7 linked regions of the Nothobranchius furzeri genome follow. The protein of the gene in region 1 purifies or fractionates together with the protein of each later gene. This does not show direct contact. Links are inferred from orthologs where the notes say so. Each region holds a gene or a part of one and is shown in the gene's direction. Other genes may lie near its edges.

Evidence for each region.
Region 2: the proteins of grb2b (region 1) and ptpn12 purify together in Homo sapiens (affinity purification with mass spectrometry; 3 studies listed by BioGRID and IntAct, with this or other methods). This does not show direct contact. The link is inferred for Nothobranchius furzeri from reciprocal best matches to the Homo sapiens genes GRB2 and PTPN12.
Region 3: the proteins of grb2b (region 1) and dock4b purify together in Homo sapiens (co-immunoprecipitation; 4 studies listed by BioGRID and IntAct, counting the BioPlex papers as one, with this or other methods). This does not show direct contact. The link is inferred for Nothobranchius furzeri from reciprocal best matches to the Homo sapiens genes GRB2 and DOCK4.
Region 4: the proteins of grb2b (region 1) and ruvbl1 purify together in Homo sapiens (affinity purification with mass spectrometry; 3 studies listed by BioGRID and IntAct, with this or other methods). This does not show direct contact. The link is inferred for Nothobranchius furzeri from reciprocal best matches to the Homo sapiens genes GRB2 and RUVBL1.
Region 5: the proteins of grb2b (region 1) and bcar1 purify together in Homo sapiens (affinity purification with western blotting; 3 studies listed by BioGRID, with this or other methods). This does not show direct contact. The link is inferred for Nothobranchius furzeri from reciprocal best matches to the Homo sapiens genes GRB2 and BCAR1.
Region 6: the proteins of grb2b (region 1) and ubash3ba purify together in Homo sapiens (tandem affinity purification; 3 studies listed by BioGRID and IntAct, with this or other methods). This does not show direct contact. The link is inferred for Nothobranchius furzeri from reciprocal best matches to the Homo sapiens genes GRB2 and UBASH3B.
Region 7: the proteins of grb2b (region 1) and peak1 purify together in Homo sapiens (co-immunoprecipitation; 3 studies listed by BioGRID and IntAct, counting the BioPlex papers as one, with this or other methods). This does not show direct contact. The link is inferred for Nothobranchius furzeri from reciprocal best matches to the Homo sapiens genes GRB2 and PEAK1.

Annotation. Positions count from the first base shown.
Region 1 is NC_091752.1:67,730,130-67,734,328, reverse strand, and holds the start of grb2b (growth factor receptor-bound protein 2b), read left to right. Parts: upstream 1-1,399; 5' UTR 1,400-1,537; intron 1,538-4,199. UniProt on the Homo sapiens protein: Non-enzymatic adapter protein that plays a pivotal role in precisely regulated signaling cascades from cell surface receptors to cellular responses, including signaling transduction and gene expression.
Region 2 is NC_091741.1:48,575,403-48,579,524, reverse strand, and holds the start of ptpn12 (tyrosine-protein phosphatase non-receptor type 12), read left to right. Parts: upstream 1-1,322; 5' UTR 1,323-1,542; coding exon 1,543-1,644; intron 1,645-4,122. UniProt on the Homo sapiens protein: Dephosphorylates a range of proteins, and thereby regulates cellular signaling cascades. Dephosphorylates cellular tyrosine kinases, such as ERBB2 and PTK2B/PYK2, and thereby regulates signaling via ERBB2 and PTK2B/PYK2.
Region 3 is NC_091741.1:52,226,587-52,229,226, forward strand, and holds the end of dock4b (dedicator of cytokinesis protein 4b), read left to right. Parts: coding exon 1-16; intron 17-1,521; coding exon 1,522-1,977; 3' UTR 1,978-2,140; downstream 2,141-2,640. UniProt on the Homo sapiens protein: Functions as a guanine nucleotide exchange factor (GEF) that promotes the exchange of GDP to GTP, converting inactive GDP-bound small GTPases into their active GTP-bound form. Involved in regulation of adherens junction between cells.
Region 4 is NC_091743.1:48,433,299-48,436,483, forward strand, and holds part of ruvbl1 (ruvB-like 1), read left to right. Parts: intron 1-640; coding exon 641-727; intron 728-1,406; coding exon 1,407-1,539; intron 1,540-2,245; coding exon 2,246-2,397; intron 2,398-2,677; coding exon 2,678-2,767; intron 2,768-3,185. UniProt on the Homo sapiens protein: Possesses single-stranded DNA-stimulated ATPase and ATP-dependent DNA helicase (3' to 5') activity; hexamerization is thought to be critical for ATP hydrolysis and adjacent subunits in the ring-like structure contribute to the ATPase activity.
Region 5 is NC_091754.1:40,234,318-40,238,391, forward strand, and holds the start of bcar1 (breast cancer anti-estrogen resistance protein 1), read left to right. Parts: upstream 1-1,274; 5' UTR 1,275-1,876; coding exon 1,877-1,888; intron 1,889-4,074. UniProt on the Homo sapiens protein: Docking protein which plays a central coordinating role for tyrosine kinase-based signaling related to cell adhesion. Implicated in induction of cell migration and cell branching. Involved in the BCAR3-mediated inhibition of TGFB signaling.
Region 6 is NC_091750.1:47,686,099-47,689,396, reverse strand, and holds part of ubash3ba (ubiquitin-associated and SH3 domain-containing protein B), read left to right. Parts: intron 1-2,323; coding exon 2,324-2,377; intron 2,378-2,514; coding exon 2,515-2,701; intron 2,702-3,298. UniProt on the Homo sapiens protein: Interferes with CBL-mediated down-regulation and degradation of receptor-type tyrosine kinases. Promotes accumulation of activated target receptors, such as T-cell receptors and EGFR, on the cell surface.
Region 7 is NC_091754.1:44,457,005-44,460,977, forward strand, and holds the start of peak1 (inactive tyrosine-protein kinase PEAK1), read left to right. Parts: upstream 1-1,173; 5' UTR 1,174-1,593; intron 1,594-3,973. UniProt on the Homo sapiens protein: Probable catalytically inactive kinase. Scaffolding protein that regulates the cytoskeleton to control cell spreading and migration by modulating focal adhesion dynamics. Acts as a scaffold for mediating EGFR signaling.

The DNA of each region.
Region 1 (4,199 bases):
TAAATGGTGATCTTGATTTAATTAAAACAAATGTGTTCATTGTCTATTTTTATAATTTGGAGATTTATTTTCTTCTCTATCAGATTTTCCCCCTCATGTGATTTTATTTACTCATCATTGATCCAGTTTTCTCTGCCTCAGTTTTCGCCCTACACATGATGAATGAACAACGTAAAAACAATATGAAAAAAAATAAAATGAGGACTAATAAAGACAGAAACATCTCTTTAAATTGCAATTAAATGTTTTGTTCCAATATTTTACATGAATTTTCATTTCACACTTCCTACCACATGGGTGGTTGCTCTTCCACTAGACCTTCAATCCCATAGACATGAATCTGTAGATGCCACATTGGTTTTTTTTACTGAACACATTTTTTATACAACAAACAGGGCAAACGTCCTATCAGTATCTAAACGTGTTGAATCATCTTTTACCACAGAAATATAATAACAAACACTAACGTTTGTAACTAACATAAAAACATGAAAGTGTGAGAGCCTTATTCTAGAAGTTTGAAAAAGACGCCCCATTGGGTGCTGGAGGGCGTAAAAACATTGTTGCCATATTGGAAAGGTTCCTCGCTCTCCAAACCCAACTGAAGTCAATGCAGAGTGGGCAACTATGCCTGGTTTTGTGCGGCCTTCATTTGCAACAACCAGCGACAATTGTAAACAGATCATGTGGTTACTATTGACTTTTCTAGCCTACCTGATGGTATTTTATATAGTAATTTTTTTTGTTTAATTATATTTATGTTTTAATGGTCATGCCTTACCATATGTCTGATTTTGTGGAAACAAAACTTGATAAAATGTGGGGTTTTTTTGTTTGTTTGTTGAGAGTAAGTATCTTCCTCAGTAGAAATTAATGTAGCGGGGCGAATGGAGACCCATCCAATATGGCGGCCCGATGCTACACCAGCGACAGACAGCAGGCAGCTGTGCTCAATCCAGTGCTGTTGTCATGATGGTATCTTCCCACTAGGGGGCAGCCTTTTAAAAGCATTTGATCTCTCCCGTAAAACAAAAATTGAAAGCAGATGTGCTAAATAGTGAACCACTCAGTTGGTTGTAGACTGGCGTATCAAACATTATCGTCTGTTTGCCTAATCCCTTACTGCAGTTTTTTTAATCTGGCAGAGAGGTACTTTATTTTTAGGTTTTGGACAAATTTCACTTTTAACACCATAAGTTTCAGTCTGAACTGATTCGGGTCACCAGATAAAGTCCCTATAATCACATATCAACGTTTTTCCAGTCTGTTTAAAAGTGTCCTGGCTGTGGATGAAACGGTAACAGAGGTGGCTGGGTTGACATGGACTGTTGGGAGGAGCTCGGGTCTGAAGAGCACCAGCTCGGCAGAAGGAAGCGGAAATAAACGCTCTGCTACCAGCTAGCTTCGGGCTCCTAGGACGGGCTGTGAGCGACGCTACACACTGTTGGTTGTCTCTTATGGGGAGCAGGGAGAGCTAAACAACACGGTAACGTTTTGTTCCCTACGGTGGATTCTTCCCAACCGATCGTCGCAAGCGGTAAGACGCCGTTACCGTTTCGCATAAATGTGGTGTACAATAAAGTGTTTTCTCACAGAGTCAAGTTCACGATAGCAGCTGTAAGCTAGCAACAACAGCTTGCGCTAAGAAAAAAGGTGTTTTCTTCCTTTTTCCCGTTTCCCATCATGAGGCTTTCTATCGGGCTTTAATCATCACTAATCTTTTACAACCCCCTCTAAACGTCGCCTTCTGCTGTTCTATCTAATGTAGTCCGTTCGATAAGTTTGATCATCACACTGCATCGCAGTTATTGTTGACCGAACGTTAGCCGGGGTGCTAACGTTCTAGAACAGTGGGCGCAGTCTACTCTCTGGAACCGATTCGATCCCTTTACACGGGAAGCGGTTTTAGACGGGTTCTGGTGGCGGCATCGCCACTAACGCGACGTGCGGGCTTGGGTTTTGTGTTTAAAGTTGGGAAACGACGCGAAGGTGAGACATTTGGGCAACTGGCAGCTGTTTTTCTGTCGCACCTCCGTCTCATCATCCATTTTCATGACCTGATGTTTAATGACACCGCTAATGTGCTTGTGTGATCCTTTGTGTTCAGCAGCCTTTTATCAGTCAGGGCTCGACTTCCTCAGATACAACAACTCGTTATGTGACAAAAAACCTCCTTCATAACACCGTTAGTGTCCCACGTAATGCCGTTATTACTAACTAGTAAACTATCTACCATCACTAACTTATGCCTTGTATTTTTATGCGTCTTGCAGAATTGCAACACGCTTGTTTGTTATGATTATTATTATTAGTCCTCTGCCAGCATCTGGCTAGCTGTCCACGTTTAACGGCCTTATTTGGTAGAGCTGTGTGGGTGTGAGCTCATCAGTTCTGTCCCCATCACCTGTTAGCAAACGAGCTAATTGGATAAGGCGACTATCAGTTCAACCCTGCAGCAAAAGGTTTCGAGCTGTCTGCGTTAACCCACTTATCTCTGGTTGTTGTTCTCAAAGGTTTGTTGGGATTATCAGATTGTGGCCTGACCCTTGGACCAAACCCATATGTTCTCCATTAATATTAACTAACTGCTATGAATAGATGTTCCCCCTAAGTGTTAAAAGCGCAGTCTGATGAAGCAGAAATCATAAACAATTTTCCTGTGAATGTAAATATTTGAAAAACTTGCTGTAGAAGTGGTTAGTGGTGCTGATGGGTTTTTTTTTTCCCCTCATTTCTGTTTTTCGGAGGGCTTTGCATTTAACCAGAGTTGTATTATAATTTCTGTTTTGGCCTCAGAAACCATTACATGTGTGTGCCATCGCCTTTTCCCTTTGCAGACATACAGGGTGGTTCTCAGTGTCAAGGCGCCTTGCTTACGAGGACACTGTCCTTCCTTGGTCAAAGAAAACGGTTAAATGGAACAGACTTGCATCACATGACACGGGAGATAACGTTATATTTTCTACGTATTAGTTTCAATATAAATATCTAACGAGTCTTTTACTTTTTAAATTGTGTATATGTTTATTAAATTAAAAATATAAGTGAGTTACTACCCGCTAGCCACCGAAGCTGCAACTACTAAGCAACTAACCAACCATAGATAACTTCTTTGGATATAAAAAAAAAACATTTTAAATTAGCTGACTTACTTTTAAACTTGAAAATTTGTCCCCGAAGTTGCTGCCGGTGTTGCGCCAAAGTAGTTACCCCCGTCAAAAATTGTTTCCCCATTCACGGGAGCGCGCAAAGTAGGAGGAGGCACTAGCCCAGCTCCGTTGGGAATACTTTGTATAGAAAAACACTTTGATACTATAATACTGTAAAACCAGACGTGACCATGGAAACACGTACAGGGTATCCGCGGGTCCTTAAAAAGTCTTAGAAAGTCTTAAATTAGCTTTTCCTAATTTAAGGCCTTAAAAGTCCTTAAAAATTACAAATAATCCTTAAATCCAGTTTCCAAAGGTCTTAAATGACCAAAGACCCAATAAACAAGATTCTTTTATTTCTATAAAAATTTCGTGAATCTCTAGTTAGTGTTCAGCATTTTTTGTGTACGATGTTGCCGTAAGCGGAACCGTACGCAGTCAGTTGGTTGTGAAAGGGGGCTATTTTTAGATGAGCACATTAGCTGGTTAAGCTGGTGGGAGCTTGCGCCATGGGGAAGGGCAAGTTTAATGGTAACTGGATGGCTAATCCCACGTTCGCGACGTGGTTAGCACCGGCTCCAGGCAAGAGCTGGAAATTATCGCTTAAATTTAATTTTTAAAATAGCTTAAATTTGGTCAAAGTGGCCTTAAAAAAGGTCTTAAAAAGTCTTAAATTTGGCTCCCTTAAATCTGCAGCTACCCTGACGTCGCTCTCCGGTGAATTTACTCTCGGTTTACACTTTGTTTTTGTTGGCGTTGTTATCACGAAATCGTTTATTTGCTAAATAAGTCACGATATAAGCAATAAGTACAGTAACTTTGAAGATGATTTCTTCTTCACAGCAAAAGTTATGGAGGGATACAGATTTTATCAGGCTGTGTGGCCTGATGAAATGCATTATTGATGGGGGGGGGGCACACATTTTGGCAGCCGAGGCCACACAGCCTGATAAAATCTGTATCCCTCCATAACTTTTGCTGTGAAGAAACTCTCTGCAACGTTACTGTAGTTATTGGTTATACTGTGATTGATTTTGCAGATAAACT
Region 2 (4,122 bases), on another chromosome or scaffold:
AATTTGTTGCTTCCCTGTGCAATGCTCTTACCAGACAAAAGTCACGGCCATCTTCTTCCACTGAGGCTCAGCTGTGATGTGACTCACTTCCTAAAAAAGCGAAGAAAACACTCCCATTTATTATCAAAAACAATAAATGGGAGTCTGTGGTGATAAAAGTTATTTTCTGATCCTGTTCGATATGTGTCATGGATTTCACTTATAGTTTGTGGGAATTTTAATGACACATTTTGATGCCAGGAAAGTACTTATTCACAACAGGCAACAAAAGATCCTTTAGGTTTTGTGTGGGAAGATGTACTGCCCGTCCCAACAATTTTACATCATCAAACCAAAGAGAAGAAAAATGGCTTTGAGTTTAGCGAGCTTCACATCCATCTTCCAGGACTAAAGAAGGAGAATTAAACATAAGAAAATCACTATAAATCTGACCATGTGGAAAGTGTCAGAGTCTGCTGTGATATCATAAATGAGACTTCTGATTTGTTGTCTTTTTATTAGAGAATTTTTTTTACAAACAAATACATTTCAAATTGTATGACAGACTGAGTTGAAACGTATAATTATCATTTTAACTGAATTACAGCATATGTGTAATAACATTGTAGCCTCATTCGCTGGAAGGGGACAGTTCATGTCAAATTCTGCATGCTGAATAAATAAATTGATTTGAACCTTTTGCTGATTATATTGTTTTGTTAAAAGGAGATACGTCTGTTCATTTTTCTGAAGTGACAATAATACACATTACATGGATATCTTATTTATTTATTTATTTATTTATTTATTTATTTATTTATTTATTTATTTATTTATTTATTTATTTATTTATTTATTTATTTATTTATTTATTGATTGATTGATTGATTGTTCCCACTATGAATGTTGGATGCCTGTGGCTGATAAACTGAGAAAAACAGGCATAAGTTTTATCCAATCACGCGAGGCCGTTTGGTAGAGCTGCAGCCGTCTCAGCCAATAACATTCTGTCACACGTTCTCTTGCTACCAATCAGAAACAGGTATATCCTGGAAAAGGCGGGACTACATCTCGTCGGTTTTGCCCAGTCCGGATGTTCTCCAGTAGCGAATAACGAGCACTAGTGTGAATGTGGCAATCGAGGTAGACAGGGAGGGGTACAGAGACTGACCGGACCGGGTTTTTTGGTATTTTTTCTTTATTTTGTATTTTCTCGCCGAGCCTCGTACTGACAGTTTATTCCACGCCGCGGTTGTAAACTTGTTCGAGGGGCTGGCTAGCCGGCCGTTGCAGCTTTTCTTTGGGACTAACTGCTGTCGTGAAAACAGTCCAGAAGAAAGAAGGAAAGGCAGAAACAACATGGGGCGATAATAAATAAATGTGCTGTGTTGTGGACCGACGATGACTCTCTGGGAGGACCCGTGAAAGCCTATTTATTTTTATTTATTTCCCCTTCTCCCTCTCCTTTGTCCTCTGCTGTTTTATTTTTAATGTTCTCCTCCCCTTGTTAGTCTGGGAGATATATTTAAACGGAAAAAGGCAGCGTTTTAAGAGGACTGAAAGATGGACCAAGCCGGCATCCTGAGACAGTTTATCCAGGGGGTGAAGACCATGAGTGAAAGAGACGAGAAGAGGGGGGAGGACAACTTTGGCAGCGACTTTATGGTGAGCCTAATTCAGCAGGAGTCTAAAGCTAGACTTCTTAATTTTTCCTGTGTCAAAATATCCACGTTTTCCTCATGTTGACCCTTTATATCCGAGCCCCCTTTCCCGTCTTATGGTTCCCTGTATCCCCCAGGAGGTGAGGCGGGGGCGGCCACACTATGCCCACTTCCTTTTCCTCCCATTTCCAGCCTTTATATGGCGGCCTTGCATTGTCTCCCGAACCGCACAGAAACGCCACCAACTCCTGTCTTCAAATCAAAGAGGCAAACAGCAAAACAAGTCACGTCACCTTAAAGCCATTAGATGTTTTTGTCTGGCATAGCGAAGAGCAGCTTTAGCTAAGGCTAAACTGGGATGTTCTGGTGTTTCCTATTGTGTTATTCTAACAGATCTTAGGTGCACACTAGTTCCTCTACCTCCAAGTTCCTTTGTTGTATAAATTTAAATCTACATCAAAAATACAACTGTACTGGGAACACGTGTTCTGCAGTGATTGATAGACTCACCAGTATTTGCATCTTCACTTTGTAACATAACACATCCTGTAATGTGAAACTACACCATCTAAAATGATAGCTAAGTTTAATTTAAACAGTTATGTGTGATAATCACGCAACTCAGTGCAAATAGTAATACCCAACCACAAAAACTACCACTCCCCTCCTCTACTTCCCTCTCATAATCATCAGCTGCAACTTGTGTCCTGGGCATGCCTGAAATTAAATATCTGAGCCAGTGTTGAGCCCTTTTTTGTAATTGTTTGTTGATGAAGTCATTTCAAAACCACATTTAGTTTGTTTTGTGATGACCACAGACTGCTCTGTAATGGGTCTGCCTCTCACTACATGTCTGGATGTTGCAGTTCTGATCTCCTAATTGGACCTCTCCCACTCCTGGGCTTGTGGCTGAAATAGTCACAACATGAATGACACGTCCATAATAGCTTTTGTGCTCAAGTGGCCACTTTAGTTGGGTGGCTTTGATTACAATGTTTCAAAATGTTATGTTAAGGACAAACATTTAATTCCACGTTTGTGATTTTTAGCAATCTGAAATATTGTAAAAACTGTTTTTCAAATAGTTGAAATACAAACTAACCAATATGTTTTGTTTCCGGGAATTAAATGTTTTAGATTGAGTTGGTTTGGAGTCCCATCCCTGTCAGAGTTCTTTTGCCTACACTTGCAAACAAACACTGCTTACTTCCCTGCTTCATCCAAGCTGCTTGCTGGAGCTTGCAACATTCTTTCTTGGCCTATTTCATAACATTTTGTGCTGGCTCAATAGTGGAACTTTTTCAACTCTAATTCATACTCTCAAAAACATTAACTAGAACTTCATGTCGGGCTAGTTGTGTCCTCACTCCTCAGACGCTAAACTTATCAATTCTATGTAGGAATGCACAATATATCGGCATCAATATCGATATCAGCACTTGTAAGTCATTTTTTAACATATCGGTATCAGCCCGATAAATAAAACCAGGCTGATATTAACAACCAATATTTTTTCCATCTTTCCATTTGTTTATCTTTTTCAGAGGGTGAGGGAGGTCATGTGTATTTGTTTAGTCATGTGACAGTTATTTTAATCATCGCAGAAGTGTAAATGTGTGTGGTGTGTGTACATAATAACGTAAATTCAGCTTTAATAATTTTCATTCTGTACAAAATCTGGTGATTTTAGAAGCATTAATGTCAGTATATTGGTATTGGCAAATATCAGTTATCAGCCATAACAGTGATTCATATCGGATATCAGTATCCGCCCAAATATTTCAAATCAGTGCATCACTAATTCTATGAATAGTTTTAATTTCAGAAAATCAAATTGGATTATCACATAAGGCATTCAGAGATTGGATAAAAGCAGAAGAGCTGCTTTTAAGTTTTATTGTGGTTTATTTATCATGTAAAGCTGTTGTTGCAATTATTTTACATTAACATTCTGAGAGTTGGTAACCTGATTGCATAATCACAACTTGAACACTGTTAGAAAGCACAACTCTGCTGGGGGTACTAGACTATGTAATATATGTATTTTACCAAAGTTGTCCATCCATCTTCCTTATATAACTGTATATTTCTAATTGTATCTGTTTTCTGAACCAAACGTATCCAGAGTTCATGTTTTAATGATTTAATCAATCAATCAAAGCTTTATTTATAAAGTGCCTTCCGCAACCCTGTCAGGAAGCCCAAGGCCCTGAACTTGGTACAGTAGAAGGTAAATATATTGAATAAATCAAAAATAAAAGCAATTCAAATTACACAAAAGGCGAAACATTCTAGTACAGGACAAATGTGTAAAACAATGGATAGAGTGAACCAATGAAAACTGTAAAATAAATTCAACATAAAAGAGGGCCAAAATCAAACATGTTCAGGAAACGCCAAGCGGAGGAGGTGTGTTTTTAGGCGACTCTTGAAGACTGGCAGAGATGGGGACAGCCTAACTGATGGTGGCAGCTCATTCCAG
Region 3 (2,640 bases), on another chromosome or scaffold:
CAGATCTCCTCAAAAGGTCTCTTCTGTTGGTTTTTATTTTTCCTTTCGTTCCTATATTCTTCCCCAACGACTCACCGAATCGGAGGTTATTATCCTACTTTGAGTCAGGAGAGGCTTTGCGTTAATGCTCACTGAAGCTGCTAACAGCTCCACTGTTGCTGATTTAGTACTTGTCATGTCAGTGGTCCCAGAAGGGCCTCCAGAAAACGGGACTGGCTGCAGGGCATTCGTTGTTTTAGCTAAATATACTCTAGCCTCTAGGAGGTTGTCACCTGATAACTGAGAATCTAATATACCAGAGGACCTTGAGCTTCTTTGCTGGTATTTTTTCTGTAAATATCATCTACAAAAACTGTTTGTTTTTCTTCTCTCTTTGATAAATGCCGCTCTGAACATTGACTTCAGTTTCCATCAACCAAGCTGTTCAAACGGGTGTTTAATATCTCTGACCTCATAGGGTATTTTTTTATTTATGTTTCATTCTCTCATCTACAAATAAACTGATTATTCTCAGTTTGACTCCAAGCTCTGATTTATCGTTAATGAGCCTCTTATTAGTTAATACCAGCCAGCAGAAGAGGTTTAGGAAAGGTTAAGTAAGCTCCAAGAGAGCTCTTAATGAGAGGAAAACCTTATCTAGGCTCCTCTTCTGCTTGATCTTTGTGGGTATTTTGCAAATAAACAGTGCTAAGCTTCCAGCTTTGCTGCAGGTGTGATGTCTCCTCGTGTGTGACAGCTACCAGGTTGTGCGTGTGTGTGTGTGTGTGTGACAGTGTGTGTGGTCTGCTTGTAAAATGGGAAAGGAGATACCAAAGTGTGAGTGACAGCTTGGCACACAGCATGCTCTGTCAGTCAGATTTGTGTGTGATGGAGTGTGTGCATGTTGTCACATTTGTGTGTGTGTGTGTGTGTGTGTGCACATGCATGCGTGTGTGTGTGTGTGTGTGTTGTTGTGGAAAAAGATGAGGCCTGGAGCGAAGCACCAAGCTGCCCATCACTGCACAGCAAACGATGGAATCCTCTGTGGATCTCCAGTGGGGTCCCATTATCTGGTGCATGAACATACACACACACACACACACACACACACACACACACACACACACACACACACACACACACACACACACACACACACACACACACACACACACACACACACACACACACACACACACCAGTTTGTGCAACCAGGGGCCCATTACCAGCCTGCAAACCCCAGGGCAACAAAGAACCTGCAGAAAATACATGTAGGCACTCTGACAGAGCTGCACTTACTCATCCCTGGAGGCAGAAATGAAACTTGGGAGAAGGTTGTCTTTGGGAGTTGAAGTTATTTACTGTATTAAATGTCAAGATTTTAATCTTGTGCAAAATAAACCAGGGGTGGGTAGCAGACGGGTTACTTTGTCTTTGATACAGGGAAGTTCCTGATCCAAACATATATTTAACATGTCATCTGGAAAAATGCACTATAGATAAAAGGAAACATAACTCCTGTTATGTTTTGTCTCTCCACAGACTGCAGTACCACCTTTCACCCCGTCGCCAACTGAGTGCCAGTCGGCCAGCCTGGTCTCCAACTCCCCCGCTCTGTCTGGCAGCTATAGCAGTGGCATCTCCTCCCTCAGTCGCTGCAGTGTGTCAGAGGCTTCAGGCACTGAGCTGCCCATTGGAGACCACACACCGCACCCACTACCCCCACCTACCACCTTACCAAACTCTGTCTCCAGCAGCTCGGATGAGCCGATCCGCAGGGAGAACAAGACCCCACCTCCCTACAGTGTCTACGAAAGAAACAACCCCCGCAGACCTGTGCCGCTGCCACATAGTCTCTCCATCCCCCCTCAAACGGACCCGCCAGCCCTGCCACCCAAACCTCACCAGCTCCGCACAGGCAGCATGAAGCTGGACGGAACCGCCGACCCTCGAGTTCCCAGACCGAGGCCTCTGCCCAGGAAGGTGTCCCAGCTATAGGTGCCGTTTCAGGGTGAAGGTGAAATAAACACACACTGGCGTATTTTGCACTTTTATACCCACTTTTATTTGTGATCTTCAGTTTGGCATTCCAACACTGCAGTGGAAAACACCTAGAGGTCAACAGGTGATCAGAAACAAACTACCAGAGGAAGAAAGTTCCCTTTCCTAGTCACTAGAGGCATTGCAATGACTTTGATGTGGTCTTTCTGCACTTTTTATCTCTAGTATGTGCAAGTCACCATAACACGTGTTTACCAGAACCTTCTAGACAAATAAAACACAATTTTGATAGAAATAATAATCTCAGATATATGTATATTGGTATATATGACAATTGTTTTTGCCTTAAGTATTGAAAACAGAGTCTTTTATCTGAGTCTTGCACGTTTTTTAGTTTTTTTTTTATAACAGTATATTTGTATACTTTATAGCTTAAAAGGTGCTAGAGGCCTCGAGTATGCATTTCAGTGACGAGTAGAAGACAGGGGTGTGTTCTCATAGTTGTTTTCCTCAAGGGTGCAAAAAATTAGAATAATTATTTATATAAAATTTTTAATAAAATTGCTTCATTACCTGTTTTTGTGCCTGATGTAACAATTCTGACAAGCTAGGGCCATGTTTGGTCTTTTTTCTGCAGCAATATTCAACAAAATAGTTGTT
Region 4 (3,185 bases), on another chromosome or scaffold:
CATTTCACCAAATGCACTCAAGTCAACTTTCTACTGGTGTGATTTGTTCCAAAACATGGTTTGAGGGGAAAAAGACTTTAATTAAAAATGGTTTTATATTTATATTCTGCACACTGATGTCTGAATAATTCCTCGTTTCAAAGACAAATTCTCAATCGTTTACAGAGAAAACACATGCAGCTTTAGGACGCTCCATCATTCCTCTTGATGTTCAGCAATATAAACAAACAACTGTCATTTTAGAAATACATGTAATAAATTACACAACTTTTTTTTTGTCCCTGGTAAAAAGTTTGTGAATATCACCAAAAGATATTTAGCTTGTTTTAACATTTACCACCTTATTCTTGTGGGTTTTCAGCAAAGCTGACTTTAATGATCACCAGATTACTTAAATTTTGTTTGTTTCCCATTTCATATCTGCTTTTTAAATGTGATTGTATTTGTTTTATACACACCCTTACACAGCTCTGGATAAACATCGTAGTGACACTCTCTCACTCTCTCTCTCTCTCTCTCTCTCTCTCTCTCTCTCTCTCTCTCTCTCTCTCTCTCTCTCTCTCTCTCTCTCTCTCTCTCTCTCTCTCTCTCTCTCTCTCTCTCTCTCTCTCTCTCTCTCTCTCTCTCTCTCTCTCTCCAGGCTTGTGGCATCATTGTTGAGATGATTCGCTCCAAAAAGATGGCAGGAAGGGCGGTTTTACTGGCAGGCCCACCCGGAACAGGAAAGGTTAGTGTGCAGCGTTTTAAAGTAGAGGTTGACCGATATTGGCTTTTCTATTGCCAATAGGTAAATGTCACAGTTAGCCGATGGCTGATTTGTGCTGCCGATATTTTGGACCGACTTTCATAGCCGATATCTAGACGTTTTCCACCTCATGTTTTTGCTAAATGTTACAAAAACAACAGCTGATGCACAAAACACTGAGTTTAACCAGCTGTTAAATCTTAATTTTGTGCACTGCTCGGTGTTCAAATCAGACATCTTACTAAAATAATCTAACAAATTAGTAAACTGACCAAGTCTTAAATATTAAAAACTGGTAGATTAGAAATCCTAGTTGAAAATATTTTTTGAGCATTTATTAGGAGATGTAATTCAGCAATCATGTAAACAAACAGTTAAATAAAATTGTGCAGCAGCACCAGGCTGCCCGGGGATGTGCCTGACTTTAACTCGGCTTTACTAAGGAGGTGTAACAGCCATCAGTGTGAATGTGTGTGTGAAGTGAATGGATGATTGATGCAAGTGCGGGTCATTTATCATTTATAAAAAAAATTGTAAATATCGTCCTGATAAATCGGTCTAACCGTAGTTTAAACAGTTTAGAGTTACCGTCTGAAACTGCACCAAGCATGGCTTTTGTTGTTATTGTTATTATGGTTATTGTGACTTCTGACCCCTGCAGACTGCCCTCGCTCTTGCTGTGGCTCAGGAGTTGGGAAACAAAGTGCCTTTCTGCCCCATGGTGGGCAGTGAGGTCTACTCCACTGAGATTAAAAAGACAGAAGTACTGATGGAGAATTTCAGGAGAGCAATCGGTGAGTGGAATCGGATTTATGAACTTAGTTATGCAGTTCATGGAGGAAATGATCAGACTTTTCGGACTTTTTCAGTATTGGGTTGAACTTCTGTTTTGATTTGAAGCAAAGGCAACTAGCTAAACATTAGCTGTGCTTGAGGTCAGAAACAAAGTTTCCTTGCAGCTTTAAGGAACTGAGTGAAAATGAAAAGAGAATGACTTGTTCTGTTGTGTTGCAAGGTGGCAGGTAGTGTCCAATTCATAGGGAGGGATTTATGTGGGAGACATGATGAAGGGAAGGGATTTGTCTGACTGCTGATAGTACCTGTCGAGTGGAGAGGAAATGGAGCTTAACTAGAAGCAGAGGTGGTCATCAGCACCCTTGCTCCACCCGTACAACAGCATCTGCAGCTTTTCATCACCTTGTCACTAACGGCTCTGCTGCACGGTCTGCTTTAAAAACCGCCCTCTGACCCTCAGCACAGAGGAGCAGGCACCTGTGCTGCTTACACGCCACTCTGTGTGGGAGTGTGATCATGTTACACTGAGTGATGCACTGGCATCACACACACACACACACGCACGCACGTTCTTTCCTGTAATAAAATCCATTATTTGGTCGTCTGAAAGATGTGAAGGCTTAGCCGATGCAGGAGCATAAAGACCTGATTGAATTCTCATTTTGAAGCGTGTCTGGGTCCGACTGTACCGCCGCTCTCCTTTAGGGCTGCGCATCAAAGAAACAAAGGAGGTGTATGAAGGCGAGGTGACGGAGCTGACTCCCTGTGAGACGGAGAATCCCATGGGCGGCTACGGGAAAACCATCAGTCACGTCATCATCGGGTTGAAGACGGCCAAAGGCACAAAGCAGCTGAAGGTCAGACTGGGGGTTCAAATCTGCATCTGTAGTTCTTTCATCACCGAGAGTCAAATAACCTGTTGCTGCTGACAGTTTTGTGTACAAACAGTGAGATGATGATTAGTAATGTAGATAAAGATGACTTAGAAGTGGTTTCCAGGTTTCTGGGTTAAAGATGAAAAATCCGTTTTCATTAGGCTGCATACTTGAGTTCTGTTATTACATTCTTATAGAAGTCCGATTTAATCAGTTTTGAACAAAATCATTAAATGTTGATGATGCTTTTGTGTTTGTTCAGCTGGATCCCAGCATTTATGAGAGTCTTCAGAAAGAGCGGGTGGAGGTGGGAGACGTCATCTACATCGAAGCTAACAGTGGAGCTGTTAAGGTAAATGGCATAACCATGGAAAACCGGTGCACTAAAACACACACACACACACACACACATACACACGTGCTAGTGACAAACTGGGTCACATCAACACATTAATGATTTATTTTTCTTTTTGATCATCTGCATTTTATTATAATTATTAGGTAAAAATTGTAAATGGCCTTTATTTAAATAGCACCTTCTATAGTTCTACAACCGCCCCGAGGTGCACAACAACACAATCAGCCATTCATCCATTCACACACACTTTCACACGCTGGTGATGAGCTATAATGTAGCCACAGCTGCCCTGAGGCACGTAAATCCTGTGTCTAGAAGGTTTTCTGCTTCAGAGTATAAATCTAGATCTTTATTACAGAAACATTTATGTCGGTAAAGTTTACTCATCTGATTCTAAGCAAATGTTTCACCA
Region 5 (4,074 bases), on another chromosome or scaffold:
CAACTTTGATGGAAGAAGAAAGTTTGTATCGAGCTTTTCTAGATAAAAACTACAAGGCACTTCACAAGAAAATAAAATAAATGAAAAAAAATTAAATATATATTGTTATATAATAAAAATGGGAGAAATGGGAAACAGTTCAGAAAAATGTGAATAAAAAAGAAAATGTCATCACAGGAACATGAAAAAGAACTGACAAACACCAGCATGAAGAGAAACTAGTGAAGATTCAGCAGAAGGTGACATTAAAACCAGCCTGGACAGGTGAGTTTTCAGCTGCTTTTTAAAGGAGACCACTGAGTCCACTGATCTCAGGGGGAGAGAGGTCCAGAGTCTGGGGGCCGCAGCAGCAAATGATCTGTCACCTTTGGTCTTTAGCCTGGTGCTGCACAACCAGTAGGCTTTGATCACTGGACCTCAGGGACCTGCTGGGGGTGTAGGGACTAAGAAGATCACCAATGTAAGATGGTGCTTGTCCATGTAAGGCCCTATAGACCAGAACCAGGATCTTGAAATGAACCCTGAAGTTGACTGGCAGCCAGTGAAGCTGGAGGAGAAGCAGGGAGATGGGGGTGTGTTTGGAGGACTTGGTCAGAAGCCGAGCACAGGCATTCTGAACCACCTGTAGACGGTTCAGGGAGGTTCTGCTCAGACACGTGAAAAGAGAGTTACAGTAGTCTAAGCGTGAGGAGATGAAGGTGTGGAGAAGTCTCAAGTTCAGAATGGGACTCAGCTTAGCAATGTTCCTGAGATGGAAGAAGAAGAGCGAAAAAGAGAACTGGCATGAGAATCCAGGGTGAGAACTGGGTCAAAGGTCATGCCAAGATTCCTGACAGAGAGTTTGGTGTGAGAAGCAAGCTGACCAAGAGAGTCTCTGACTTTGGGAACCAGCTTGTTTGGGGCACAGATGAGGATCTCAGTCTTATCTTCATTCAGCTGTAGAAAGCTCCCAGCCATCCAGGTTTTGATAGAGTCTAAGCAGGTGTGTAACAGCTGCAGCTTAGACATCTCATGGGGCTTAAAGGAGATGTACAGTTGGATGTCATCTGCGTAAAGATGGTAGGAGACTCCTTTGAAGGAGCTCAGGATGTGCTGAAAAAGAAGCAGACAGAGGATAATTGGAAGGAGGAAATCATAAAAGCAGCAGGAATGAAGGAATGCAAGAGACTGTTTACTGGTTTTGCTGGGAGCACTGGTGTTTATAAAGTCCAACATCTGCTGGGAGGATGGACCTAGGATGCAGCAGTTTGGCACTGAAGGAGCTTCCAGCTCCACACCAGCTTCATGCATGGGATGGAGGACACTGTCCAACAGTGATGTTATTTTCACTAGAGTCCTCTCTCCCACCCCCAGCTGGGTCAAGGGGACATGCTAGGACAGAACTTCTTAATCAGCTTCCCGTCTCTCAGTAGCCCCAAACCACACAAAGATGGTGGATGGGAGGGGGGCTCGGGCCCTTTAAGCGGACAGGATCCAGCCTGTGGTGGGCGGACGGTAGCAGCCAGCTGTGCTCCACCCGCTCCGCTCGGCCTCCAGCCGCAGCTGCTTCATGCTCCAGCTGTTATAGCCGCGCGTCCGTGGGGGGTGAGTCCGAGGCAGAGTGACTTGAGGGAGGACCGAGAACCGTCAAGTCTGCGGGTCATACGGACGATCGCATTACCGCTGCTGCAGATCTGCGCCTCTGAGGCGCATTTTTACGCAGCAGTCCAGCTGGACTGAGACAAATCCCGACCTCTTCCTCCCGCTGGGAGCTTTCCTTTCCTACCAGGAGTCTTTTCCATGGAATCCACGAACGGCTGACGCCAGCGCAGCTGTGCATAAAACCCGCTAGAGACGCAACTGGCAGGAAAAGGCGCAATAGGACAGCTGCAGCAAAATGTCTATCCCTGTAAGTATGTCAGACGCATGTTGGTGTTCCCAGTCGTTGCTCCGGTGTTCCATGTTAATGGTTGTAACAGCCTGGGCCCGGGCCGCCCGGTTCCATAGCACTACAGTAATTAAGATGTTATCATGTGAGCCCACACATATTACTGTAACACGGTGTGTGATATGTGCTGGTGGTGACATGTTACTCTTTGTCTTTGGCCTACATGAAGCTCCAGCGGGTTTAAAGGAGCAGCCCGCCCCTTCCGGGAGGCTGTTTGCATGAAGGCCAATGTCAGCCAGGGTCTGGTGGCTTCATTCCAGCAGACCTGGCCAGTCAGCTCAGCAGAGCAGCTGATAGCACTGTGTGTGTGTGTGCAGGTGTGCGTGCGTGTGTGTGTGTTTGTGTGTGTGTGCAGGTGTGCGTGTGTGTGGAATAAGGCATTTGCTCGAGCTTGTTGAGTTATTTTCCATCAAATTCCAAAGGATCTGTTTCACAAACACTGCCTAAGGATCTCTCTCTCCCTCTCTCTCTCTCTCTCTCTCTCTCTCTCCTCTCTAACTGAACTGATGCTTCATTTTGTTGGGGACGACAAAATCCTACTGGCACTTTAATATAAAGTTATTAGACGATCTTACCTTTTGCAACATTTTTAAGCTGTTCTGGGAGGCTTTGCGGTCCAAAAGAATGATTTTAAGACCATCAGTGAATGGTGGGAACAAGGGAAGGCACAAATTAGAGTTTTCTGTCAACATTACACGCGGGGGTCTACAAACCAAATAAGAAAGACTATGGCAGATCTAGAGAAGGACATCAGGGTGCTAGACTACTACTCAACAACAGCACACCTTAGACCAAAAAAAGACAGCAGCTTGGGCATTTCCTGCAAGAGAGGGCCAAAGGCGCCTTGATCTGGGCTCGTCTCACCACAATACAGGACATGGATGCTCTGACATCCTTCTTTTTTAACCTGGAAAAGACTTCAAACCAGAAAAAACAAATGGCTGGCCTGCGTCTGTCAGATGGACAGTTATCCACAGACCCAGTGGAGATGAGGAAGCATGCAGTAGAATTCTATACCAGCCTATTTAAGGCCGCCCCATGTGATGTGAACTGTGCCAGAGAGCTGTTGCAGGGGCTTCCTTCCTTGACCACAGTAGACCAGGGAATCTTAAATGCAGACATAACCATGGAGGAACTTACAACGGCAGTCTCCCAGATGGCTGCAGGTAAATCTGCGGGGATGAACAGCTTACCCGCTGACTTCTACAAATTCTTCTGGAGCAGTATTGGACAGGACCTGATGGATGTTTTTAGAGACTCACTTCAGACAGGAGCACTTCCTGCATCGTGTAGTTGGGGCGTTCTGTCCCTGCTGCCGAAAAAAGGGGACTTAACCCAACTAAAAACCTGGGGACCAGTTTCCTTGTTGTGTTCAGACTATAAGATTTTTTCTAAGTTCCTATCTAATAGACTTCGGGGATTCATCAGAGGTCTAATCCCAGACGATCAGTCCTTCTGTATACCAGGAAAGTCATTAATGGACAATTTATTTTTAATGAGAGATGTGTTTGATGTTTGTAAAATGTATGATGTAAACGCAGGTATCATTTCTATTGATCAGGAAAAGGCGTTTGATAGGGTTGATCATGAGATCCTGTTCTCTACGCTACAGGCCTTTGGTGTTGGGGGGTCCTTCCTGGAAGGGATTAAGATGCTGTCATGTCATGTCAGCTGTATGGTGAAGGTAGCGGGGGGCCTGAGCCAACCCACCAGTTCTAAGAGGAATCAGACAGGTTGTCCCATCTCAGGACAACTGTATATTTTAGCCATTGAACAGCTGCTGTGTCGGCTGAGGAACAGGCTGAAAGGTGTACACCTACCTTTACCTGACTCCAGTCCTCCCTTAGTTGTGTCTGCTTATGCAGATGATGTGAATGTTTTCATCCATGATCAGCAGGATGTACAAGAACTCAGATCTAGTTTACGTTTACATGAGAAAGCATCCTCAGCTAAGGTTAACTGGGACAAGAGTGAGGCATGTGTAGTGGGGGGTGGGACCTTGGTGATGTCCCGCCTCTGCCAGAAGGGTTGAGGTGGGGAACGGGAGGTATTAAAACACTAGGCATGTACTTGGGTAGGGAAAGGTTTCAGAAACAGAACTGGGAGAAGGTGCTGGAGAAGGTGGAGGCGCGGTTGTCTAAATGGAA
Region 6 (3,298 bases), on another chromosome or scaffold:
GTCTTTAGACGAGACTTAAAGACTTGAAGGGACGGCGCCTGCCTAATGCTCAATGGCAATTCATTCCACAGAGTTGGAGCAAAAACAGAAAATGCACGATAACCCCTTGATCGATATTTCGACCGGGGGACCACCAGGCGTCCCTGCTAGGCTGAGCGAAGAGACCGAGATGGAGCATACCTGTGCAAAAGTGCAGTAATGTAAGAGGGGGCACTGCCCTGGAGGGCCTTATAAACGAGAGTTAAGATTTTAAATGTAGCTCGATATTGCACCGGGAGCCAGTGCAGAGTATCCAGCACTGGGGTAATGTGATCTTGGCATCTAGTACCTGTCAGGAACCTAGCCTTTGAGTTCTTTACAAATTGGTGCTGTGCAACCATGCACTGGCCCAGACTGGCATACAGAGCGTTACAGTAGTCCAGACGGGGCAGGACAAAAGCATGCAACACAGACTCCAGATGAGCTCTGGACAGCAGAGGCCTGATCCTGGATAGTTGTTTCAGATAATAAAAAAACAGGACCTCACCACCGTATTTACGTGAGTGTCAAGATTAAGTGAGGACTCAGTTTTTATCCCCAAATTACTGACTATTTTCTTTTCATAGGGGGTCAATGGGCCAAGGTCAATATCAGCACCTGAGCCATTTCTTCTGCCAAGATTAAGTAATATGACTTCCGTTTTGCTCTCATTTAGGTGCAAAAAAATTAGAAGCCATCCAACATTTTATGTCCTTCAAACAGTCCAGTAAAGGAGAAACAGATCTGTCCTCCCCACTTCGAAGGGGGAGATAGATCTGGCAGTCATCAGCAAAAAAATGAAATTTCACATTATGCCGACGAAGGAGGACTCCAAGAGGAAGAAAATACACTGCAAATAGGAGAGGACCAAGGACAGAGCCCTGTGGCACACCCCAACAAAGTCTCATGCAGGCTGACATCACCTCACCCATCTGAACACTAAATGTCCTGTCATGAAGGTAGGAGCGAATCCATTGGAGGGCCTGCCCAGTTATCCCCACCCAATGCTGTAGTCGGTCCAGAAGGACTTCGTGGTCGACTGTATCAAAAGATAAGTCCAGCAATAGTAGGACAACATCGTTATCCATGTCACAGGCTAAAAACGTGTCATTAAAAACCATTAAAAGAGCAGATTCAGTGCTGTGACCTGCCCTGAACTCTGACTGAAAGGTCTCCCATAAATCATTTGTGTTCATAAAGGTTATGTTCTTGTGTGATTGTTGTTTTGTTTCCCCAATGTAAAGATCTGGACAGTCCTCACTACAATGGACAGCATAAACGACGCCACTGAGCTTCTGTTTGGGTGTTTTGTCTTCTGGATGGACCATTTTCTGTGTGAGGGGTGTTGTTGGGTTTAAAGTTTACCGGGATGTTGTGTTTGGAGAAGATTCTTCTAAGTTTATCTGAGACTCCTGCCACGTATGTGATGATGGTGCCTTTGTGTAAAGGGTGTTGTTAGGTTGGTAGCAGAGCTCTCATGGTTAGTGGTAAGTTCAGTGAGATCATGGAATGGGATCAAGAATTTTCTACTGACAGGAAAAAGATCTCAGCTAACATAGCTGTAGATCACACTGGATAACCCTCTGTGTTTGCATTTATTTTACTACCTCTTACTAGAGCTGTCGTTAGTAAGTGCAAAGTCAATTTGGTTGTACACCTGTGCAATAGCAATAAATTATCTTGAATACTGTTAAATTTACTTCCTGAATGAGTGACTTTTAAGGCTAAAACAATGGCAGAAGGACGACTTCTTTCCTCTTTTGTAACTCATTGCATCACCACCAGGTATCAGAACAGGACTCAGTATTGGAAGATAATCAAACAACTTGGACTCGGATCAGGGGCAGAAATGTGGTTGTAACATATCTAGATATAAGTCAGATTTATAAACTAAAACAATTATTTATTAATTAACATTAACACTAACATTAATTACACTAATTGATATATTTTTATTATGTTGTTTGAACCCAAGGGTCTCATTTTCTGTTTTCTAACTTGTTGGATTGTGAATCTGTTTAAAAGTTTTGCTCTATAAGTGCCCCTTTTTTTTACTTTGAGCACCCACCCCGTCAAAGGTCTCTGCACGGCCCTGCTCGAGACAATCAGCTTTGTTTTCTGAGCTGAAGATTCGTGCACCTCTGAATAATGAAGCTGAGTTACCGATGATTGTGTGTTTCCTCCGTTTGGCCAGTTGGTTTTAGTCATGTGGAAAGATGACGTTTACTCAGAAAAATAAGCAGGTCTGGAGCAGAAGTTGCTGATTTTGTGACTGATTTCATCTTTCTTTCTTTCTTCTTTTCAGATTAAAAGCTTTAGTGTCAACAGGAGGCAAAAATGTCCAGGCAGCCTGTGACTGGTGAGACACATTAACTAATTTCTCATGTTAGAACCGAGCAGGAACCCAAACTGCTGTTCTAAAGGAAATAACCCAGCAGTTACTCAGCATCACTGCCCCCTGCTGGACACTGTCTGATGTCTTTTCCTAATGTCCAGGCTCTTCTCCCACCTGGACGACCCGTTCCTGGATGACCCTCTGCCCAGAGAGTATGTGTTATACCTGCGACCCAGCGGACCTCTGCTCCAGCAGCTCTCACACTTCTGGAAGCAGTCTCGCCTTTCCTGTGGCAAGAACAAGGCCCACAACATCTTCCCCCACATCACCCTCTGCCAGTTCTTTGTGGTAACGTTCACCCCTTCTGTTCACGCATCAGTCCTCAACCTAAGGGGCGCGGATGCTCACGAGCACCAAACATGATGTGGCACGCTGTAGTTAAACCTGATGAATAAGTGTGTGTGTGTGTGTGTGTGTGTGTGTGTGTGTGTGTGTGTGTGTGTGTGTGTGTGCCTGTCTAAAACAGAAGTGATCACATGAACTGGTGAGCCTCCGTTTTTGGTTTTCAAATCTTGGCTGTTTGCTTCCAGCTGTGCACATCTGCATCTGTCTGAGAAGCAAAACCACACAAATCATTTCTAAAGTTGAAACTAATCCTAACTAACAAGTGTCCAATCCGTCAGGTGGTGCTATGCTAATCCATCTTTAGGAGCTTTAAAGTGGGCTGCCATAAAATATTTTATTTTGTATGGTCACACGTATGACCTCATGTTAGCCATGTTGGCGGCTAACTTAGCCACACCATCAGAGTAAGCAGCAAGTACATAAACCACACAGGTGGTGCTCTTGTCTGGAATTCTAACGGTTTCCTCCTTGGAAAACCTTCCTCGGAGCCGGAGCCCACCGGGGGATGGGTGGGGGTTTAAACTGTCGGGTTCTGTTGGT
Region 7 (3,973 bases), on another chromosome or scaffold:
CTCATACTAGCCTTTAGCTCATCAATCTATTAATTATTTCTTCAAACGGAGGCCCTTAAAAGGCCTTTCTCAACACATTACTGTTAAAATCTTTACCTAACTCACATCATGTCTAACGTTTCAGGTTGGTTCACCCCTCAGCATCAAACTGTCATGTACATCTTTTCCTGTCTGAAAATCACCAAGGATGGTCTTTATTTTCCTGGTGGAATAACCAGGAAAAGGAAATGTACAGAAGTGTGAAGGTTTGTGAAATAATATATTCATGAGTCACTTTAAAAAAGTTTTTACACCTTTACAAAAATCACTTTGAATCTGGATTTTCAGTTTTCCAGTGGCTTCATTTAGCGATGTGATCATTACAGATCAACATCAGTCATATTTTAATGCTTTTGCAGTGGTTTCTGATAGGAATGAATGCCCCGTGAGTTGCTCTGTGGGGAAAAAGCTCAGATGTTTCTGTTTGAGAACATAGAAGTCAGCTGGAGAAAGTGGCAGAAATCAGGGTTTAGAGTCTTGTTTCCTGATATTCAGACATCTCTCCTCTAATTGGCTAACAACAACGTGACTCCACCACTGACTTTGTTTGCTCTACAACGTTGATGTTTTATCTCCACAAATAACACTGGAGGGGTTCTACTGTGTGGTGGAGCTAATGCTAACAGGTAGCTTCTACTAGCCCAGACGTTCTCTGCTGTTTCCTGGACGCTAAGCCACCAACAGCCTTCCCCGTCGTGAGTCCAGATGGGTGAGTCCATGAATGTTAGTGACAGTGTGACGTAGATCTGTCAAGCTTGTCTAATCCTCGAGTTTCACCGTCTGTTTTCCATCAGAAGCTTAAGCAGGAGATAGGTGTAGGAGACTATTTTCATGTTCAGCCTGCATGAAACACTCAAGAGTGAGTGATCATTTTCACAAATAAAACTGGTTTCTCTGTTAACCTGGCCTTTAAGCCTACACGTCATAGTGCTGGTTTCAGTTAGGGGTTCAAACACTGAAGATGCAAACTCTTTCAAACACCAGCAAACCTCAAGCCCTTGTTAGAATTAGAAGCACCTGCAAGATCCGTTAGAGGAAATAATAATCGCACGGTCCTGGAAGCGTGTGGAGTCTGGGAAAAGCTATTTCATTCAACTGAGGCCATTCCAGCAGGTTGGTGTAATCCAGTATTTTTACATAGAAGGCCTCCCAGTGTGGTGTAACTACACATGAACCGGGAGCACTTTGTGTGCTGACTTGTACATTTGTCCAGGTAACGGTTAAAGGTGAGCGCTTGTAAGTCTCGAAATCTCATCCGAGTCAGTTTAACGTCTTTTAGGTGACGCGCGTTCACGAGCCTTCCTGGCCGCCCTGTTATGCCGTGGAGCTCGCTCCCGCGCCGCGCCAGCCACGCAGAGGGGAGACGGTTCGGTTCGGAACACCTCTGGCTCTCCCGGAGTTCGGCTTCGGTTCTCCGCTCCACGACGACGGTTGTAAAAATCCGGGATCTGGAATTGTTCGAGAAGCCGAGAGGAGCCGCGCGGAGAAGCTCCGAAAAGTTGTTCAGAGCTTCCTTCCGTTCCTCTGAGGAGAGAGTCTCCGCCACAAGTCACGGTGGGTTCTGCTGGTTCTGGTCTGGTCTGCGCAGCGGCGGAGTGTGTCTGATAGATCATAGAGGTGTGTGTGTCACACACATGATGAGAGTGTTGGTTCTGCGGTGTGTGAGGACAGTGGAACTTCAGCAGCTCCATCTGCTGCTCTAGAACACGGTCTAAAGACCCAGGAACGGTTCAGATGAGAAGTTTAGCCAGAGCAGCTGATCAGAGAGGAGCCTGTGTGGGACGGGGCCCCCGGGGGGGCCCGAGCACCGCAGAGGGGTTCAGGCCTGACCAGGGGCTCTCCTAGGGAGGGGCACACCAGGCAGAAGGTCCTGCATGGTGGTAGAGCTCAGCAGCAGCTGTGACAACAACAGTTATTCCTAAGTGGACAAGAACAACACAACAGCAGTCGTAAATAAAAGCGGCGTGTTGTCCCGGGTCAGCGCGCACCAGAAGAACTTGTGTTGCCAGTTTGTGGAAGATGATTTCGCTCCAGCTGTGTCTGTCTTTTCGCGGTGGAACCCATCTGCATGGTTCTATCTTTGCTGTTCTAAATGTTCTGCAGTGTAACTGCTCACCCTTTCACTTTAACGTGTTCTTTAATGACATTTTCTGTCACACCGCTTTAATGTTCTTGTTATTGTTGCTGCTGGAAAGCACATGGAATTACCTCTGTGTACAGCTGCCTCGCCTAAACCATTAAGGCTCGAACCCGAACCCTAAAAACACCTGTGTCATGGTCTGCGTCTGCCCCTTCCTTCATGTGCCTCCTGGCTTTTCTCCATCCCCTCCGGATTCCCTTTTGTGTCTCTTGGTGCCCTCATGTGTCCTTGTCCTTGTCATGTGTCAGTTAGGTGTCTTATGTTGTAGGCTTTAAAGTCAATTCCTCCCAGGTCCTGTGCCATTCCTGTGCTCAGTGTTTGTGTGTATGTGTTTGTGTGAGTCCTTCCCTCAGTTTTAGGTTTAGTTTTGGGTTTGAGGTTATCTGCCCTCCATTGGTTCTGTTTCCCCCATTTAGATAATTGGTGTCACCTGCCTTCCCTCCAGCCCTCACTCCACACACACCTGTTTCCTGTTTCCTTAATTGTTCTCCCTGTGTATTTAAGCCCTGTCTTGTCTCTGTTTGGTGTCGGTCCATTGTTTGTATGTTGTCAGCATTTGCCCGTGCTCAGTGTGAGGTTATAGTCTCCAGGTCTTCGTGCTCTTGGTTGAGCTTTTGGTCTCTAGGTTTTTGGTTCTCTAAGAGAGCTTTGGGTGTCCTGTGCTCATGGACGTAATTTTGGGGGGGGACAGGGGGGACATGTCCCCCCCACTTTTTCCAAAGTCAAGTTTTGACCCCTGCACTTTTTACCATCCAAAAACAATATTACGCTATATTAAATTGACACTGGTTGAGCTCTAGGACCAAGCAGAAAGCAACCGTTTGTGTTGAAGCCTGTTTCCCCTTAGAACATATTGTAAAGATACCCCCCCCCCCCCCCACACACACACACACTTCTAAAGTGAAAATTACGTCCTTGCCTGTGCTCCAGGACTTTTTGGATTTTGGCACGCTGCCTTAGATTTATTTCTGTTTCCTTTATCCTGCAAATAAAAGGATTTTTACTTTGAACCAACTTCTGCCTTGTTTCATCCTGGGTACTGCATTTTGGGTCCTACCAACACTGAATCGTGACAACCTGAATGCTGCTAAAGCTTCAGGTCAAGTCACGGTGTTCAGTGTAAATGAGTACACCCTCTTTAAAAGTACAACTGTAATCTATATCTCAATGAACATGTTCCGTAGAACTATATGGAATCATGGCTGATATAAGTTTGACCACAAAATCTGCGGTTTTACCTGAGTTAGCTGAAGCAACAGTGCCACAACGTAAAGTACTACCTCCAGTATTTTGTAGGGAAGTCCCGTTCCACTATCGATATCGGAAATAACGTCCCACAAGTACTGTATCAGATTATATCGGACTGCATCAAAAGTGTATTTCCTGTTAAAGTCTAAAAAGACAGTTTGGCTCAGTGCTACACTTGTCATGCACAGGTCTCCCGTGGTGGAACAGAACCGCTGCGTGTCATTGTCATGTTTAAGGTTCACATGTCTGCAACCAATGGTTAATAACATGGTTGCTTTTTTCATAGCTGCTGTTGCTGGATCTCTGTTTGAGTGATGTCACTCGATCAAACCTTTTGTACGTTCCACACAACAAAACAGGTAGAAGTATGGATGATTTGTGCCGATACCTTATCAGATTGATCTTGGTATCGGTCAGTATTGAAGGCTGCAATATCGGTACGGTATTGGAAGTGAAAAGGTTTATCGGGACGTCCCAGTATTTTGTACGACTGCCGTGATTCCTAAGGACAGAACCAGTGACGTGTGGTGAGGTCCATGACTGGGG